Danio rerio: one gene and its partners. The main gene of each other region encodes a partner of the protein of the gene in region 2 in a complex. Links are inferred from orthologs where the notes say so. Each region holds a gene or a part of one and is shown on either strand. Other genes may lie near its edges.

Region 1 (6,126 bases), on a different chromosome or scaffold from region 2:
CAGAGCTGCGGCCCTTTTGGAACTGAGTTTGACACCTGTGCCATAGCAGATCCAAACACAGGTGGAGCTGGGGTGGAAGAGGGTCTCCAAAAACATGCAGCAGCTTGACAGCGTAAAATGACGCAGAGCATTTCAACTCATGACGCAGGGGCAGATTAGGTAACCAATCAGCCTGCTTGCGCATAGTTTCATGGCAGAAATTTTACAAATTGTTAAAAATAAAGTTTTGATTGTACAGCACAGCTTTACTTGTTACATAACATCTATAAATTTATCACCCTTAAATCAAGACCAATTTTAGCTTCATAGATACTGTAATTCTGGTTGTGTATGGTACTCATTAATAAACTAAATAAAACTGATGCTACATTTTTGATTCAAGAAAAAAAAACTTCTTATGCAACATAGTTACTTTATGTTTAATTAAAATAATTGTCTTACAATCATTTTCATGTAATTGGTTGTCCTGTGGCTCCTGAGGGGTCTGTAAGAGAGTTGTAAAATGAAGTAAATGACCAAATCTCACTATGAAGATGTCTGGTTCACATTATGTTCATTTCCAGACAGTTTGTACCTCTGTGTCAGGTGTGCTTGGCTTTGTGTGTGCTGGTTTGGTAACTCCTTCCCAGAAGTCTTTGTCCTCTGGCTCTTCACTCGTCGACTTCTCAGCAACTTCACCCTCTGTTATATCACACATACACAGATATTTGTTTGAAGGCTGCATGGAAGCTGCTAAAGAGACAGCTTAAAGAAGAGAACAAGAATGTAAAAGCAAGACTGAAATAATAAACAAAAAAGCTACAAACTATACATGCACAAGACGACACACCTGAATGTTTTATAAAAAGATGTGAAAATAAATACTGTAATACAATGTCAGAGATTGCCATTTTAATTCATTTTGTAGTTAGTAGGTCAAAAACTAATATGATAAACATATACATTGGTGACCCAAAGAGGTTTTGCAGCCACATGCGTCAATCATATTTTAATATTCTTAGACTTTGTCGAGAAACAGGAAAAACATGTTAACATGCACCCCAATTTAGCAATTTTGGTTGTTCAGAAAGTGTTTTTTTTTTCCAGTCTAATGAAAAGAAAACATGCAAAATAGACTTCAAAGTGCTTCTTTTGCCGCATTGTATAAAGATTTTAACTATAATATGTATTTTTAAGGCTTTTCACAGAGGAATATTTTTACTGTCTGTTCACAGTAATTTCTGATGACAAGACGGACTAAAATCCCCTTGGTAAAATTCTATTGCTCTCTGGGTCTCTGCAGGCTAAAACTTTATGACCATTAAGACTGAAATTTTATACTTTTTTTCTAATGGCCCAGTTACTTCTGTAAATAGTTTTTCCATTAACAAAAGGTCATGTAAATGGATGTGTTGCTTTCGTTTTTCCCCCTGATTAAGTAATTTAATTAGGCGAATTTGCTGTAAAAACGTCTAACTGTCATTGTGAATTGCATCTCTTTGCAATAAAAATGTTTTAAGATGGAGTAATGGTAATTGAACTGATTGGGGAGATTTAACTGTTTTAAAATGATTTAAGACCAACAGCACAATATTTTAGTGAATTTAAGACTTCATAAAGCCTAAAACGTTGTTTTTGAATTTTAAGACATTTTCTGTCTGTTCACAGTAATATTTGATGAAGAAAATCATAAAAATCTGTAAAATTGGTAAAAATCTATTGTCAGGGTTTTTGCAGACTTCCAAGACAAATGTAAGACTTTAAGACCATTGAGATTGAAGTTTTATACTTCTACAGGGCTAAACACTATAAGGATTTTTTCTAATGGCCCAGTTACTTTTGTAAATAGATTTTCTATTAATAAAAGATCATGTAAATGAATGTGCTGCTTTAGTTTTCTTTCCCTGATTAGGGAGTTAAAATTGGACAGTAAAAAGGCCTAAAATTTTGTTTTTGCCCATTGACTCCCTGTGCTCTAATCTAAAAAAAACAATGCGATTTTTTTCTGTCTGTTTGCAGCAATATCTAATGACAAAAACATACCCAAATCTCACTTGACAAAAAGATATATTACTCTAATGTGTCTGTCTGTTCAAAACAATATCTGATGGAAAGACATATCCAAAATCCCCTTGGTAAAAATCTATTAATCTAATGTAAAAATAAAATAGAGAGAGAAGAAGAAGAAGAAGAATTCTGAAGCTGATTTCCTTCAATGTTCTAATTTTTGTGTTAGAAATCTATGCAAAACAGTGCATATTTGTTTAAATTATGCCTTATTTGCTTGTTTAATCATATATAAACAATCAAATAACTAAAAAAAGTGTGGTGATGCCAATATTTTTTACACTATTTATTAGCAGCGTCTCCTTAAAAACTGGTCATGAAAACAAAACATATAACCACGGGCGCTGCTAGGGGGAAAAGTTAGGACCATTCCAAGGACCCACGCCGTTTTGGGGGCCCTAGAGTTACTATTAGTAACCATGTACAAAGTTGTACAATTCTACAAAGTTGTCATAGGGCCTGTACTGAACAGCAGCGCCCCTGTATATATCACTTCTCACCAACTCAGTTTTATATTTCCTTTACACAGCACCACCCAGTGCATTGAACTATAACTGCAGGATTGAGGTTGAAAAACTCAAGACTGATTTTGAGGGTGTTGTAGATGGCCTTAAAACTAACCCAGTCATACAAGTATAAAGAAATCAAATCACAGTCTGAATGCTGACCTTTTTTTTGGGCCTTGGAAACTGGAGGCTCATCAGAGCTAACTGCAGGTTCCTCATCTGTTCTGTCATCCAGCACACCTTTGTTCTTGTCATCCTTGGACAGAATTTCATCCAGGTTTCTGAGCTCCTCTGAGATCTGCTCCACTTTACGTTTGGTGTCAGCTGAGACAGAGAGAGAGGCAACGACAGATGTCTAGGTGCTAAAAATAATGAATCAATTGGAGAACAGAGTACAATTAAATGTAGGCTGATTGCATCTCCGGAGATCTAATCTAATAGGACAGAACTTGGCAGCGAGGGCATTTTTATGAATAGTGTAATGAGTGATAAGGAAAGAAATTGTGAATAAAAATATCTGATTATGATTCTGAAGGTTTCTATGCAAGTAAGTATACAGCACTGTATGTGTAAAAGGTGAAAGCAACAACTGTTGAATAATGAACGGAGTCACAATAGACTGGGCTTAATGCGCTGCCATAGCAATCCATATCCTGTTATTGTAATAGTAGTGTAATTAACATTTGACAGCATATAGGTCATCTCTCCTGGGTGAGCAGGGTTATAGCTAGTTAAAACCACTAGCACAAAATTAATGCTGTTACTTGATGAAATAACATCAACTCAAACAATATAATACATTTTTTTTCTGGTAAATTTCCTAAGATATATTTTACTTTTTGTTTTGTATAAATTAAAATAAATAAAATCAAAATTACAAAAAATACAGAGACAATTAATAAACACAATCAAGGCGGAAGAAAAACCATACAACAAAAATATAAAATATATAAATAATATCTTTAATTTCGATCAGTTTGATTTTACCTGTTAAAAAGTAATTAAACAGTATACAAATACAAAAACATGATTAATTATTTTAATTGATATATTATTGATATAATAAAAAAATAATACAATTTTTAAATTTATTAACTGATTTTTAAATGCATTAACTCATCTTTTAAACACAAAATATATCCTCCTCAACATCTCACAGTCATGCAGTAAAGTGAAGGATTCTTTGGAGACTCTTGACAACCATATAAACAGCAAATTAAGTGTAGCTAATTAATGTCATGTTAACAGAATCACAGCAAAATCATTTGTAACATTGGATATTTTCACCAATCGATCCCTAAATTACAGTGCCTTGATGTAAAGTAAAAAAAATCATCACCTCTCATACTTACAGACTTGAGCCTTGACGTAGTCCATGTACTGCTGGGCACTGAGAGCAGGTTGGCACACAATGCCTTGTGGTTTGGCAGTGGACGGTGGGCGCAGAAGGGGATGCTGGCACGTGCGAGAGGTGTGGACTGTCAAGACGTAGCGGCAAGACTGGGGTTCATCCACCCGTGAAATGAAGTCAGTAGAGCCTTCCTCACACACAAACTGTTAAAAACACAATATACATATATAGATTATCATTGCCATTAGATTAAAATACAATTCTATGTTGCTGATGTAAACTACTGGGGTCCGTTCTTTGTACCTCGCTTAAACAAAGATAATCTGACAGATCCTGGATCTTTTAATCATGATAACTGGTCTCTGGCTGATTTGGTTCTTCAAACAAGTTTGTGAATCAGATCTGAGATTATTGCATGTGCTTGTTGTAAAGGACAGATCTATCTAGCCTCAATTTGATCTACCTAGGATTGATCCATTTAAGGATCTATCTAACCTTAAATTGTGTGTGTGTATGTATGTATGTATGTATGTATGTATGTATATATGTATGTATATATATGTATATATATATATATATATATATATATATATATATATATATATATATATATATATATATATATATATATATATATATATATATGCATTACTTGAGGTCTAATGAGCTCAACATCTGTATAGTGAAGGTATTCTACAGTGTGTGTGCATACAGCAGCAGAATTAAGAAGACTAGTCACAACAGTTAACTAGTGTCCTTATTGTTTATTGTTAGCCATTAGACTGACTTCAATAATACTCTTTCTTCATTATTTTTCTCTATAGTCTGGAATATGGCACTTAGTATCTTACTCTGACTTCCGTCTCTCTGGGACTGCCGTTTAAGTCACATTTTGAGCCATTGACATATGACTGACTGTGATACCTCTTCAGCTTATGCTGCTTAGATGCCTGAAAAAAAAAGATCAACAAGATTTTAATTTTGTAACTACAAAATATATAGAAGATAACTACAGACTTGTTAACATAAAAGTGGTTAATAAAAAATATTTACTGCTAGTATCAGAATTCCTAATTTGAATTGACAACATTTACAGACATTTTATTAGGACAAGCAAATCAAGATTAACAAACCTGACCTTACCTTTGCAGTTTCATTCGTCCAGTCAAACTCTGTATCATAATATCCCAAAAACAGTACATCTCCCTTGATCTCCGAATCTGCGATCACATATAGGGAACACATTTCAAACATCTTGAAATATTTAATAGTATATATTTATAGGCAGTGCATTTTCCTGAAAGGCTTCTGTCCTAAATTCTCTAAATTCCTTTCCATCTACTAATAAAAAACATGTTTATACAGGCAGTGCATATATATTTTTTAGACCATGTAAAACTCAATTTATCCAAGACACATTAGATAAAAGATTTAACCTGCCTTCTAAGTGGTATTGTCTGATGTGCTGGCCGTAGCAGAACTCATAGGTCCACCAGTCTTTGGTCTGCAAACAAAACATGAACAAGCTTCAGATCACAGCGACATGTAGTTTATCATTTTAACATGACCTAAAATGACTATAAATGTACATCATTTATTACGTCTTAATTTACACATACTCTACATAGCCACTCCAAATGTGCTTTTTTTTCAAAACAACATTTTTGATTGAGAGAATATGATCAGAGAGAACAGTTTTTACTTTATTACTACAAACTTTTACACAAAACAGAAAATTCTGTCATCAATTACCCACTCTTCACTTGTTCCAATCATGTTTGACTTTCTTCTGATAAACACAAAATAAGATATTTAGAAAAAAGCTGGAACCATTCATTTCCATAGTATTTGGTTTTCTTACCATGAAAGTCAGATGTTGCTGGTTGCAAACTTTCTTAACAATGTTTTTATTTTGTTTGAAACCACACGAGGGTGAGTAAATTTTTATTTTTGAGACTCTTTAAGTACCTGCACTTTATTGGGGTATTTTATTATGGGAATCTTTTGCTTAACTGCAAAGCATAATATTTGACTTTTTACACCCTTATATTTGTTAAAAAATGTGTTATATTTATTTATATTCAATTTGCAAATCGCACTGAACCATTTATTTTTAACTGAAGTGGACAATTCTCAAGTCTGAATGGAAGATGCTTTAAGACTGACTCAACTGTAAATTAAAATATAATTTATTCTAGTTAATGGAGTTTACTTTAAACACGC
Region 2 (6,602 bases):
ATCCCTGCAGGTGTGTTGAGGCAAGTTGGAGCTAAAATCTGCAGGACAGCGGTCCTCCAGGACCGAGTTTGGACTCCCCTCTTTTCTATGTAATTGTTTTGATGGAAGAAATCAAGATGGATTTCAAGTTTCAACATTATTTGTTCTTCAGACATTATCATTTGTTTTAAGTTTTTTATTGCATGCAAATGAATAAATTTACTGTTAGTCAAGCTTATGGGACCGACTAAAGACTTTTGTCGACAAAAGAAGAGTGTGTTAGAACAGGGGTTCTCAAAGTGGGGGTCGGGACCCCTCGAGGAGTCGCGGGACAATGAAGGAGGGTCGCCTGGTGATTTAAAAAAATCTATTTATTATTATTAAATCATATAAGAATGACCATATTTTATCCATAACCTACTGAAGAGAAAAATATAGTCGTTTATAATTACTAAATAGTTATAGTAGCTTATAGTTACTATCTCTATTGGATTGCGACCCCAGTGGTAATTACATTATATTAAAGACACAGCAATAGCGTCAGATGCAGCAGATTGATTTTATAACACCAGGTTAAAGTTTCTGGCCCATTTACAGCACTGACATTAAACAAAGAATATACCTGGGTGTTTTGGTGTGTGTGTGACATTGCATGCAAGGTTTCTGTATTCATAACCAGGATATTGGGGGTCGCGAGTCACTGGCATCGTCATATTAGGGGTCGCAGGCTGAAAAGTTTGGAAACCTCTGTGTTAGAAAATGAGATTATAATAGGTTTGCATCTATGGGTGTTTGGCCCAAGTCTTGATCAGTATCCATTGGCAAATAATGCTACAGTGAGGGCTACAGGTCAACAGGTTATCTAACAGACCTACACAAATCTCTGTATAAACTAAATATTGAAGAGGACCTATTTTACCCCTTTTACACAATGTAAGATACGCCTTTGGTGTCTCCAGAATGTGTCTGTAAAGTTTCAGGTCAAAATACCCATCAGATTATTTAATATAGCCTCCAGAATTTGTCCATTTTGGTGTCTGAGTACAGTGTAGCTGTTTTTGTAGCCTGTGGCTTTAAATAAAAATAAGCTGCTTCTCCCAGCCCAACGCTCCCACATGCATGTCGGCTTCACGTTACATCAGATAAACAGCAGTCAGTAATAAAGACAGACATGGATAAAGCTCAAATACAGCTCAGTCAAAAATATCAACTAAGCTTTTTTCATGTATGTGTGTTGGAGTTTATTCAAGCCTTTCGAAAATGATGAGTCACACACAAATGCCAATTGCAGTACACACACATATATATTTGTATTTGCTGACACCATGCGTGGTGTCAGCAAAGTGGTTGTTATAGCAGTTAAGAATTAGATAGCGATTTAACTTTCTTTATTAGAAACATGCTCTGTTTTACAAACGTTTTAAACTTATAAAACTGTGAAAGAAATCACAGAGAGTTGGAAGTGATTTAAAAAAATGTTCTGTTGACGTGTATATATGTTATTATAGAAACATGGCACCTGTCAATCAATTCAGTGGGCGGGGAAAACCGCATTCTTACGTCAAGTTGCAGTGGGGCTCAAAATCACTGGGATTTGGGTCCTATTTTAACATCAGGAAATTTAAAAAAAAGAGGCTTCTTGTGTTTCTATGACTTTAATATGACCGTGGACAAACTATACCTACACACAGTTCTGTCCAAACCGTTTTACAAAAGATGATATATATATATATATATATATATGCATAACTCACGCAGATAAGCTGACAGTGGATGCTGGTACCACCAAAACCCGATTCGGTTGCACCAGGACTGTCGTGTCACATGAGACGACTCGAAGACCCAAAAGAAACTTTCCTGGAGTGGCACCTCCAGCTCCCCAAATACAGATGATCTGCAGAAAAAGACAAAAACAGACTGTATGAGTGCAGGCAAGATGTCTACAATTTATTCAAATCACTTTAGACCACAGAGTTTTCCCTCCAAATACTGTTATTAAGCAACAAGAGTACAAGGATGAAAATGCTGATCAAAAATGTACTGTGAATATATACAAGGTTTGTAATTTTGTTTTTCCAAGATGAAAAAAAAAACATGCTAGAATCTCAAGGAGACTCACTTACTTCATAAACACACACCAGTACTCTGTATGCTAAAGCCACGACCATCATCTTCTGCAGGTCCTCCAATGACGTGTTCTCATCAATCTCTTCCACTATAAACTGCATTATGAATTTGGAAATATCTCTGTTCAGAAGATCAAAGAAGACATTTGAACTGTCATTATACAATACTCTATGCAATATATTTAAAATGCCATGTGTCATTTGCTCAAAATAATGTTAAAGGTGTAGGCCTAATAATGCATAAATAATTACAATCTAATAGAACTGTTTATTATTTAATATATTTTCCTGTGCTCAATAAACATTTCTAATCATTATCAATGTTAAAAACAGATGTTGCTTAAAAATAAAAGCACTTACTGATTTTTCTGTGGTCTTTTGGGCATTTTATTTTAATTGAAATCCTGTCTTAATAAAAGTATTTTCTTTTAAATATATATTCTCAACTCACTTCATTCCACAGAGATGCATGATCCACAACACTATGGTTGCTTTCACACAGAAGAGAATGAAGAAATCGACAGTTTCAGCCAGAAATCTGCGTAGAGGAGAGGGTATAATGTATTCTCTACCTGAAAGGAAAAAGATCATGTTATGAAAGACTACCTATGGATGCACGTTTAATATTTTCACTGTCACAAAAACTGTGCATTCTTAAGTTAGTTTATTTGACTTGATTCTTGCATTAAAACATATAGTAGTACGTGTCATGTAAATTAATGTTGTTCTTTTTAGTCTTTAAGCTTTTTAGTTTCTTGAATCAAATTATTTCACATTGAACACACTGGCCGGGAAATGCCCATTTTAGACTTTTTTATTGTTGTTTAAAATGTTTAAATATACTAGGTACTACTGAATTTAATTAAAGTTACTTATATAGCGCTTTTCACAGTAGTTATTGTTTCAAATCAGCTTTTCAAAAGATGCAAATTATTGTAATATAATCAAAATCAGAAAAGTTGAGTTATTAGTTACCATAACTGTATTAATTGCTAGTAAATACTTTAATTAACTAGTAAGCAATAGCTTTTAACAGTTCAAGTTATTATATATAAGCATAGTTGAGTTGCAGTTACACAGTATGTAGGTGATGTCATTGTTGTACATGTTCAATGAAGTGCATCATCATCTCTTCACAGATCTTGGATAGCACTACTAAAGAACTATAATACTGACACAAATAGCTCCATATTCTGAGCGGGAAAGTGGCATAGAATCACTTGTGATCTTCAGAGCGAACCACAAAAAATTACATTTACTATTAATTTACATTTACAAAACCAAATGAATAATGGTTATAAAAACACAGCATTGTAATATACAAATAAAGTGTGTTCAGTTTCCTGCATATCATTTCACTTCAAATGTTGTCAATGTATCTTCATCATGAGCCACGTGTATTAGTTTTACTTTGCCTCTGCATGTTTTTTTGACACTCAAGGTGTCAGTAGTCATTGACAAGACAGAGTGCATTATAATTTTGGGGTAAACTATCCCTTTAAATTAGGAAATACATAATACCAAAGTGAATACAACTATAGAGACTGTGAAGGAAAATCTACAATTTACACAAAATGTAAATGAATTTTATTAGGTTCTTTATTAACGTGTGTTTTAAGGATTTTTGTTTAAAGCTAACTAGTCTTTCTTCTCAGATGACTGCGTTACTGACAGTTACTCTACCTGCGGGCTGTGCTGCCCCTCTGTCCCCAGTGCTGGATGTGGCGGTGTCTGCTGGACGGATGGCTCCCGGGCTGCTCATTTGGTTGTACCAGGCGGCGATGTCCGCCGGCGTTGTGGGATACACGGATGCAGAGCTGCCCGGTGCCTGGCAACCGAACTGAGGCGGAGGAAAGAGCGGCGCGGACATCAACACCCAGCTCTGCCAGCTCACATATCCGCTGTAGTAGCGCCACATCCACTGCTGCAGCCGCGCGCAGTACTCGTTCGTTGTCATCTTATCATCGTCATTGGCTCCTTCGCCGTTTTTGTCCGCCTCTTTCGCACTGTTCTTCTTTGCCATGTTCACCTCTTAAATAAATCCTATTTTCACTTCCTTCCACTCACTAAAGAGGCTAATCTTCTCAGAGAACGGCCATGACAACTGCTCATTTAAGCTGGAATATACCATTGTACCCGTGGTGCAACGTGCTTGGAGTTGTTTTGTGTTTTTACTTTAATATCTTTGACAAGCGAATGAAACTAAATTTTCATAATTAGTTTTTTGTAGCAAAACGATTGTGCAAACTGGTCACGTAGATTCAAATAAAAAATGCCCGCCATTTGTGCACCCCCGTGTTATTCAATAATGTTGCAGCCTGCAAAGTTTACAAAAAGGTTCATAGCAGAGAAATGAGCTACATTGTTCGTGTTTATTCATTTTGGTTAATTAAACATATCGGATTGATTATTGTTAGTTTGTTAGCTCAGTTCCAGTAAGCTATCGGTTAGTAAATGTTTACTAACACTTTAATGTTAAATTAACCGTAAATAAATTCTCTGTGTTTATGTTAACTAATGCTGTAGTTAAACTTATGTTAAATGAAACCTTTATTGTAAAGTGTTACCATGTTAATAACAATCGGTTATTCAACACAGAAGTCATATAACTATAAACGATTTAAATAATTTTTTTATTTGTAGCTAGTAAAATATTGAAAGTAGATACTATATCCCTGCTGAAAAAGCTTAAACCAGCCTATTTTCTAGCCTGACCAAGACCAGGCTGAAAATGACAGGACACCAGCCTGGAAATGGCCAAAACCCCTCTAAAACCAGACTGGTCAATCAGCTAAAACCAGTCAACCAGCCTAGGCTAGTTTAAGCGTTTTTTTAGCAGGGATGTAATGGTAAAATATTTATACTTACAGAAAAAAGTAATTAACCTGCTAGTGACTTATTACTTTATTTATTTATATTATCAGATTTTTACAATAATTTATAAATATGGGTAAAATGGTGGCTTAGTGGTTAGCACTGTTCTCCTCACAGCAAGAAGGTCGCTCGTTCGAGCCTCTTCTGGGTCAGTTGGCATTTCTGTGTGGAGTTTGCATGTTCTCCCAGTGTTTGCGTGAGTTTTCTCCGGGTGCTCCGATATCCCCCACAATCCAAAGACATGCGGTACAGGTGAATTAAATAAGCTAAATTGGCCGTGTGTATTTGTGTGAATGAGAGTGTATGGGTGTTTCCCAGTACTGGGTTTCAGCTAGAAGGGCATGCTGGATAAGTTTGTGGTTCATTTTGCTTAGGCGACCCCTTACGAATAAAGTAATTAAGCCGAAAATGAATGAATAAAGGCATTGAATAAAATAAGTGTTATAATAGCCTACGTAATGGTAAAATAATTTTTTTACAGAAAAAATGGTAGTGCTGGAGACTTAAGGCTGCTTTATTTTTATTCTATCTATCTATCTATCTATCTATCTATCTATCTATCTATCTATCTATCTATCTATCTATCTATCTATCTATCTATCTGATTTTTTATATTTACATAAATATAATGTTGACAAATAGGCCTACTATATTTTCGTGTTTTGAAGAAAAGTTTTATTAATGAGCACATAAATTAAATGTTCTTCTTAATAAAAAATCCACACGTTATTAACCCCAGAAAACATTCATTTAACAATTTTAGAATGTTTTTGGGTGTTAATAACGTGTGGATTCATTATAAAGATGGCGAGCTAAGCACATGTAGTTTTCTCTGCTCTATATTTTTGATTTATTGACCAAGATTCTATATTGTATCATCCCGATTACAGTTTTATTGTTGACTCGTTTAAGTAGATTGAAATTCTTTCAACAAAATAAAGCTCTACACAACCCCCCAACCCCAAAAAAGAAAGTTAGTCATCTTTGTTTAAATTCATTACCACTAGATGGCGACAGTGTCTTTTACATGATTTAGAATTTGCAGTGAAAATGAACTGATTTATTCTCAATATTTTCTGCATTTTAACATGTATGTCAACATAAATTTAATGACACATACTCCTAAACATAACACTTTTTTTATCAAGAAGCACTGAGAAGGAATGAACTGTATAAACTCTATGTACTTAAATTCAGTTTTAGCAAATACATAAAACTGAGATTTACTATGCTGATTTAGACATCAGCATATCAATGTGAAGCTATAAGGTAATAAACGTTTCACTAAATATCAACCAGAATCAACGCTTGTTTTACCCCTACGCTTGTTATGGCGGCCAGCTGTTAAGAGACAGTGATGTATTAAAGTCTCATTCTCTGCTGGGTGTGTATTTGCTGACTGGGCTGCCCTGGGCCTGTGAGTAAGGTCTGGCCGGCCTATAGTGACTGTGCTGGGCCCTGAATGGAGGCCTCCAGGCGGAACAGAATCGGGCCATGTGAGGATGATCATCTCTGACAGGACGTGAGGTGACTTGCGCAGAAATAATCAGGGCCAAATAAAAGCTGTGTCTAGCAAACGCTGACCTGCATGGAAGCTGCCACTGGTGCAGGATTAAAGGCGAG
Region 3 (6,126 bases), on a different chromosome or scaffold from region 2:
TGAGGCACACTTAGAAATGCTCAATGTTTTTTTTTCTTTCAGTTTGTATCAGTGATCACTCTTTCAATTAAAGCTGAATGTTTTGTTTGTCAGTCCGGACTGCTTTAATAGCGATTATAGGATTCATGCCGACTAAAGGAGAAGGAGCGATCGGATCTCTGGACTACACTCCTGAGGAGAGAAAAGCTCTCGCCAAAAAGTAAGATCTTCTACCCCTTTATTTATATTCTTTTTCCTTCCATTATTCAGCAGGAATAAAGACTAAACACCATGGCAACAAAAATTTTACTTAATTGTACAAATTAGATCAAACGAATTCATACGAATTAGCCACTAAATCAAAAAGTTACGAATTGCCGTGAGATTGCGTTGGGTTTTTTTTTCACTCGTTTTTTTTTTTTCTCTCACCCATTTTTTTTCTCCACCATTCCGTCCTTTCCGGGTCTCAGTAGCATTGCTTTATTTACCAAATTAAAAAAAAGTAATAAATAAACAATTTAGCAGGCATGAAAAGAAAATAGACGGAATAATTAAAATACATATAGAAACTATACATGTATTAAAGCTTAAGCAAAGGAAATATTAGCACAAAATAAACCAATTAAATGATTAATAAACAAATAGATTGAGATATTTTTCATTTTTGTTAATTTTTTTATTTTACTTTTGAGCCTAGAAACCTGTAATCTACACTTTTAAATCATTTATTTGTTTCACAATCTCAGGACACTGTTGACCCCGTACATTCGGCTATTAAAAATGGCAAGTGGCTAGTAACGTTGGAAATCCACTAGCCACAGTGGCTGGTGATCAAAAAAAAGTTAATGTCAAGCCCTGCATATACATATTTATATATAGAGAGAGAAATATATATATATATATTAAGCGCAAGAAATACATAAGTAAATTCATTCATTCATTCAATTTCCTTTGGCTTAGTCCCTTTATAATTCAGGGGTCGCCACAGCAGAATGAACTGCCAACTTATCCAGCATATGTTTTACACAGCGGATGCCCTTCAAGCTGCAACCCAGTACTGGAAAACACCCATACACACTCATTCACACACAGACATTTTAGCTCACCCAATTCCCCTATAGCGCATGTGTTTGAACTGTGGTAGAAACCGGAGCACCTGGATGAAATCCACGCCAACACGGGGAGAACATGCAAACTCCACACACAGCTCGAATTAGCTGGGACTCGAACCAGCAACCTTCTTGCTGTGATGCGACAGTGCTAACCACCTAGCCACTGTCTCTCACCATACAATACTAGTATCCTGTAAAATGTTATGTACTCTCATTGGGGCAAAGACTAAAGCAGAGTTATTAAAGCTGTTGGTTTTGAAGCGTCTGCTGTTCAATCCTCTCCTCGTTGAACAGCACTGGGGAAATTGAATATTCACAGGAAGAGTCTTCAGCTTCATGATAAAGGCTCCTCATCTGCCCTGGAGACTGAGAGGTGCTGCTGGGACGTGTGTGGACATGCTGAGTCCTTCAGAAGAAACACGCGTGTGACTGCTGCCATCAGCGGCTCATTTCCAATCAACACGTGCTGATTAAACAGCCACCTCCAACACACGCACGCACACACACACACACACACACACACACACACACACACACACACACACACACACACACACACACACACACACACACACACACACACACACGCACATACCAGGACATGAAAACTAGAGGAGCAGGTCTGTGGGATCAACTCTAGAATCATCAGCCTGCTGTTCTGCTTGTGGATTTGTTATTTAACATGTTTTTGGGCTTTTCTATTCCCTCATTGTGCACTTATTTACGGCACATAAAGCTGCGGTTAGGGCTACACGGTGGCGCAGTGGACAGCACTGTTAATTTCCTACTGTAAATACATCCAAATTATTTAAAAATTAAAAATTAATTACTATCTATCTATCTATCTATCTATCTATCTATCTATCTATCTATCTATCTATCTCTATTTATCTGTCTGTCTGTTTGTCCGTCATCCTTCTGTCTATCCATCTATCTATCTTTCTGTCTGTCCGTCTGTCTGTCCATCTATCCATTCATCCATCCATCTGTCCATTCGTTCGTCCATCCATCCATCCATCCGTCTATCTAGCTATCCATCTATCCATCCATCCATCTGTCTGTCTATTTATCTGTCAATCTGTCTGTCCATCCGTCCATCTGTCCATCTGTCTATCTTTCTGTCAATCTATCTGTCAGTCTGTCTGTCCATCCATCTGTCAATCTGTCTGTCCATCCATCCATTCATCTGTCAATCTGTCTGTCCATTCATCCATCCATCCGTCTATCTATCTGTCAATCTGTCTGTCCATCAGTCTCCATCCATCCCTCCATCCGTCCACTAATCTGTCTATCTGTCAATCTATCTGTCAATCTGTTTGTCAGTCTGTCTGTCCATCCATCCATCTGTCAATCTGTCTGTCCCTCCATCCATCCATCCATCTGTCCGTCCCTCTGTCTGTCTATCTATCTGTCAATCTGTCTGTCCGTCCATCCATCCGTCCGTCCATTTGTAAATCTGTCTGTCCATCCGTCTATCCATCCATCCGTCCATCTGTCTATCTATCTATCTGTCAGTCTGTCTGTCCATCCATTCATTCGTCTATCTATCTGTCAATCTGTCTGTCCATCCATCTATCCTTCCATCCATCCATTTGTCCTTTTGTCCATCTGTCCATCTGTCTATCTATCAATCTGTCTGTCCATCCATCCATTCATCTGTCAATCTGTCTGTCCATTCATCCATCAATCCATCCATCCATCCGTCTATCTATCTGTCAATCTGCCTGTCCATCAGTCTCCATCCATCCGTCCGTCCGTCCATTAATCTGTCTATCTATCTGTCAATCTATCTGTTTGTAAATCTGTCTGTCCATCCATCCATCCGTCCGTCCCTCCGTCTGTCTATCTATCTGTCAATCTGTCTGTCCATCCATCCATCCGTCCGTCCATTTGTCAATCTGTCTGTCCATCCATCCGTCCATCCGTCCGTCCCTCCGTCTGTCTATCTGTCTGTCCATCCATCCATCCGTCCGTCCATTTGTCAATCTGTCTGTCCATCCATCTATCCATTCCATCCGTCCGTCCGTCTGTCCATCTATCTGTCAATCTGGCTATCCATCTATCCATCCATCTATCCGTGTATCCATCCGTCCGTCCATGTGGGTTTAATTGGCTGTGTGTATGTGTGTGTGTGTGTTGGGCAGGTCTCAGGATTTCTGCTGTGAGGCGTGCAGCAGCTGTATGCGCTCGGCTCTGCTTCCTCTCTCTCCTGACAGTGACCTTCGACCCGCTGACCCTCAGAGACTGGCACAGCAGATCAACTTCAAGGTGCGGTCACACCAACAGAACACACACATTTCACAAACTCACAACTCAGAGAGACGCTGGAGATTTGCAAGAGAACATTTTCATTTAAATGTTGTTTTTTCCACTATTTGAAAAGCTTGCCACCAGCCATTACAAGATGTTTATGGTATAAAATATATACCAAATCTATATTTGGTCGGGGTGACCTACTTATTTAGGCCAGTATACGCATTTTATTGGTAATTCACATGTGTGTAGCAGTGTTTCTGATTGGTGAAGCATGTGTTTGTTCACAGGCTGAATCCAGCTCCTCCGCTGCAGACAGTAGCAGCTCCTCATCAGCAGCAGCCGAAGTGTTTTCCAACACCAGCGAGAGCTCTGAGACTGCAGACCAAGACACAGAGGACACGTCTGCAGCTGAGCAGGTACAGCAGAACCACAAACACTTCTCATTCTGATCTTACACCTCATTACTTCCACAGGCCTCACATGCTGTAGTCATGAACAGACTATCACACTGAATCTTCACCTGCTGAAATTCACAGGTTGACTTTATTAGTTACATGGTTGGTTGTAAAATTCCAAGGTATGTTATTCCCAGATAACAACCACTGAATAACACCCCGTCAGTGAATACGTTCACATCCATACACTTACATTCACATTCATGTGTGTCTGATTGTCTGTCACGCTGTGGTTTTTAACTGTTTGGGACTGTTTGGTGAATAAATAATGTAAGTTAGCGTATGTAAGTGTTAGTATGAGGTGACATTGTAAAAAAACGTTGATGTTTTTAGGCAGAAGTGACAAACTGCAAGCTTTGGATGATCTTCTAAATGCAAATTTGGACACGGTTTCAGAGCACACTAGCTTATAGATATTAACAGACTGATACTAATGTCTAAAAATAGTTAGTTTCATTTTCTTTGAATAAACAAATTGAAGTCCAGATGAAACTGATTTATAAAATTTGCCTAGAAATCTTCTTAAAAGCGAGTGTACAGCATAATAAATGTCACTTTATTTGTTAATGATTATGGCCCATGTGATGATTTAAAGTGGCGCAGATTTTTTTTAAATGCACATCTCCGCCCCTGTTTTTTGCGTACATCATATTTATAATTGAGACCCCATGTGTAAACAGCCCCTAACATTCTAGATGCGATCCTGTATAGTTTATGCTCCATTCAGCCAGTTTAGTGTCTGTCAGCTTTGTGTTTTTGACTGTTTGTCTCCATCTTGTGTCTGAATAATGTGCAGGTTAGTGTATACTCCATCAGCTGTTTTAGTGTCTGTTGTGTTTTTGACTGTTTGTCTCCATCTAGTGTCTGAATAATGCGCAGGTTAGTGTATACTCCATCAGCTGTTTTAGTTTCTGTTGTGTTTTTGTCTGTTTGTCTCCATCTAGTGTCTGAATAATGCGCAGGTTAGTGTATACTCCATCAGCTGTTTTAGTGTCTGTTGTGTTTTTGACCGTTTGTCTCCATCTAGTGTCTGAATAATGCGCAGGTTAGTGTATACTCCATCAGCTGTTTTAGTGTCTGTTGTGTTTTTGACCGTTTGTCTCCATCTAGTGTCTGAATAATGCACAGGTTAGTGTATACTCCATCAGCTGTTTTAGTGTCTGTTGTGTTTTTGACTGTTTGTCTCCATCTTGTGTCTGAATAATGCGCAGGTTAGTGTATACTCCATCAGCTGTTTTAGTTTCTGTTGTGTTTTTGACTGTTTGTCTCCATCTTGTGTCTGAATAATGCACAGGTTAGTGTATACTCCATCAGCTGTTTTAGTGTCTGTTGTGTTTTTGACTGTTTGTCTCCATCTTGTGTCTGAATAATGCGCAGGTTAGTGTATACTCCATCAGCTGTTTTAGTTTCTGTTGTGTTTTTGTCTGTTTGTCTCCATCTTGTGTCTGAATAATGTGCAAGTTAGTGTATACTCCATTAGCTGTTTTAGTTTCTGTTGTGTTTTTGACTGTTTGTCTCCATCTAGTGTCTGAATAATGCGCAGGTTAGTGTATACTCCATCAGCTGTTTTAGTGTCTGTTGTGTTTTTGACCGTTTGTCTCCATCTAGTGTCTGAATAATGCGCAGGTTAGTGTATACTCCATCAGCTGTTTTAGTGTCTGTTGTGTTTTTGACTGTTTGTCTCCATCTAGTGTCTGAATAATGTGCAGGTTAGTGTATATTCCATCAGCTGTTTTAGTTTCTGTTGTGTTTTTGACTGTTTGTCTCCATCTAGTGTCTGGATAATGCACAGGTTAGTGTATACTCCATCAGCTGTTTTAGTTTCTGTTGTGTTTTTGACTATTTGTCTCCATCTAGTGGCTGAATAATGCGCAGGTTAGTGTATACTCCATCAGCTGTTTTAGTTTCTGTTGTGTTTTTGACTGTTTGTCTCCATCTAGTGGCTGAATAATGCGCAGGTTAGTGTATACTCCATCAGCTGTTTTAGTTTCTGTTGTGTTTTTGACTGTTTGTCTCCATCTAGTGGCTGAATAATGCGCAGGTTAGTGTATACTCCATCAGCTGTTTAGTGTCTGTCAGCTCTTTGTTTTTGACTGTTTGGTGCCTTCTTTTATTGTCTGCATGGAGGTTCTGGACAGAAATTCATATTTGACACTGACATACAACATATATTTACATTCTATAAAGCCCATAAAACACTTTAACCCAACTCATCCCAAATAGAGAGGGTTTATTATATAAAAAAAACAAACAAACAATCCTGATAATACATATTCCAGCTAAAGGACTTGATAAAGGATTCAGCTAAAGGATTTGTCACCACT

The links. The genes of interacting proteins can lie anywhere in the genome.
Region 1: fam8a1a (region 2) and os9 share a complex: the UniProt entries of both Homo sapiens proteins name them as parts of the HRD1 complex. The link is inferred for Danio rerio from reciprocal best matches to the Homo sapiens genes FAM8A1 and OS9.
Region 3: fam8a1a (region 2) and ube2j1 share a complex: the UniProt entries of both Homo sapiens proteins name them as parts of the HRD1 complex. The link is inferred for Danio rerio from reciprocal best matches to the Homo sapiens genes FAM8A1 and UBE2J1.

The regions. Positions count from the first base shown.
Region 1 is NC_133181.1:41,760,386-41,766,511, forward strand, and holds part of os9 (protein OS-9), read right to left. Parts: intron 5,408-6,126; coding exon 5,344-5,407; intron 5,124-5,343; coding exon 5,047-5,123; intron 4,854-5,046; coding exon 4,755-4,853; intron 4,107-4,754; coding exon 3,905-4,106; intron 2,877-3,904; coding exon 2,715-2,876; intron 682-2,714; coding exon 575-681; intron 485-574; coding exon 442-484; intron 1-441. UniProt on the Homo sapiens protein: Lectin component of the HRD1 complex, which functions in endoplasmic reticulum (ER) quality control and ER-associated degradation (ERAD).
Region 2 is NC_133194.1:34,653,322-34,659,923, reverse strand, and holds the start of fam8a1a (protein FAM8A1), read right to left. Parts: upstream 4,215-6,602; 5' UTR 4,129-4,214; coding exon 3,789-4,128; intron 2,678-3,788; coding exon 2,557-2,677; intron 2,227-2,556; coding exon 2,103-2,226; intron 1,874-2,102; coding exon 1,734-1,873; intron 708-1,733; coding exon of another isoform or gene 689-707; exon of another isoform or gene 608-688; intron 1-607. UniProt on the Homo sapiens protein: Plays a role in the assembly of the HRD1 complex, a complex involved in the ubiquitin-proteasome-dependent process of ER-associated degradation (ERAD).
Region 3 is NC_133195.1:1,226,322-1,232,447, reverse strand, and holds part of ube2j1 (ubiquitin-conjugating enzyme E2 J1), read left to right. Parts: intron 1-93; coding exon 94-199; intron 200-3,235; coding exon 3,236-3,359; intron 3,360-3,634; coding exon 3,635-3,763; exon of another isoform or gene 3,764-4,794; intron 4,795-4,959; exon of another isoform or gene 4,960-6,036; intron 6,037-6,126. UniProt on the Homo sapiens protein: Catalyzes the covalent attachment of ubiquitin to other proteins. Functions in the selective degradation of misfolded membrane proteins from the endoplasmic reticulum (ERAD) and is essential for cells to recover from ER stress.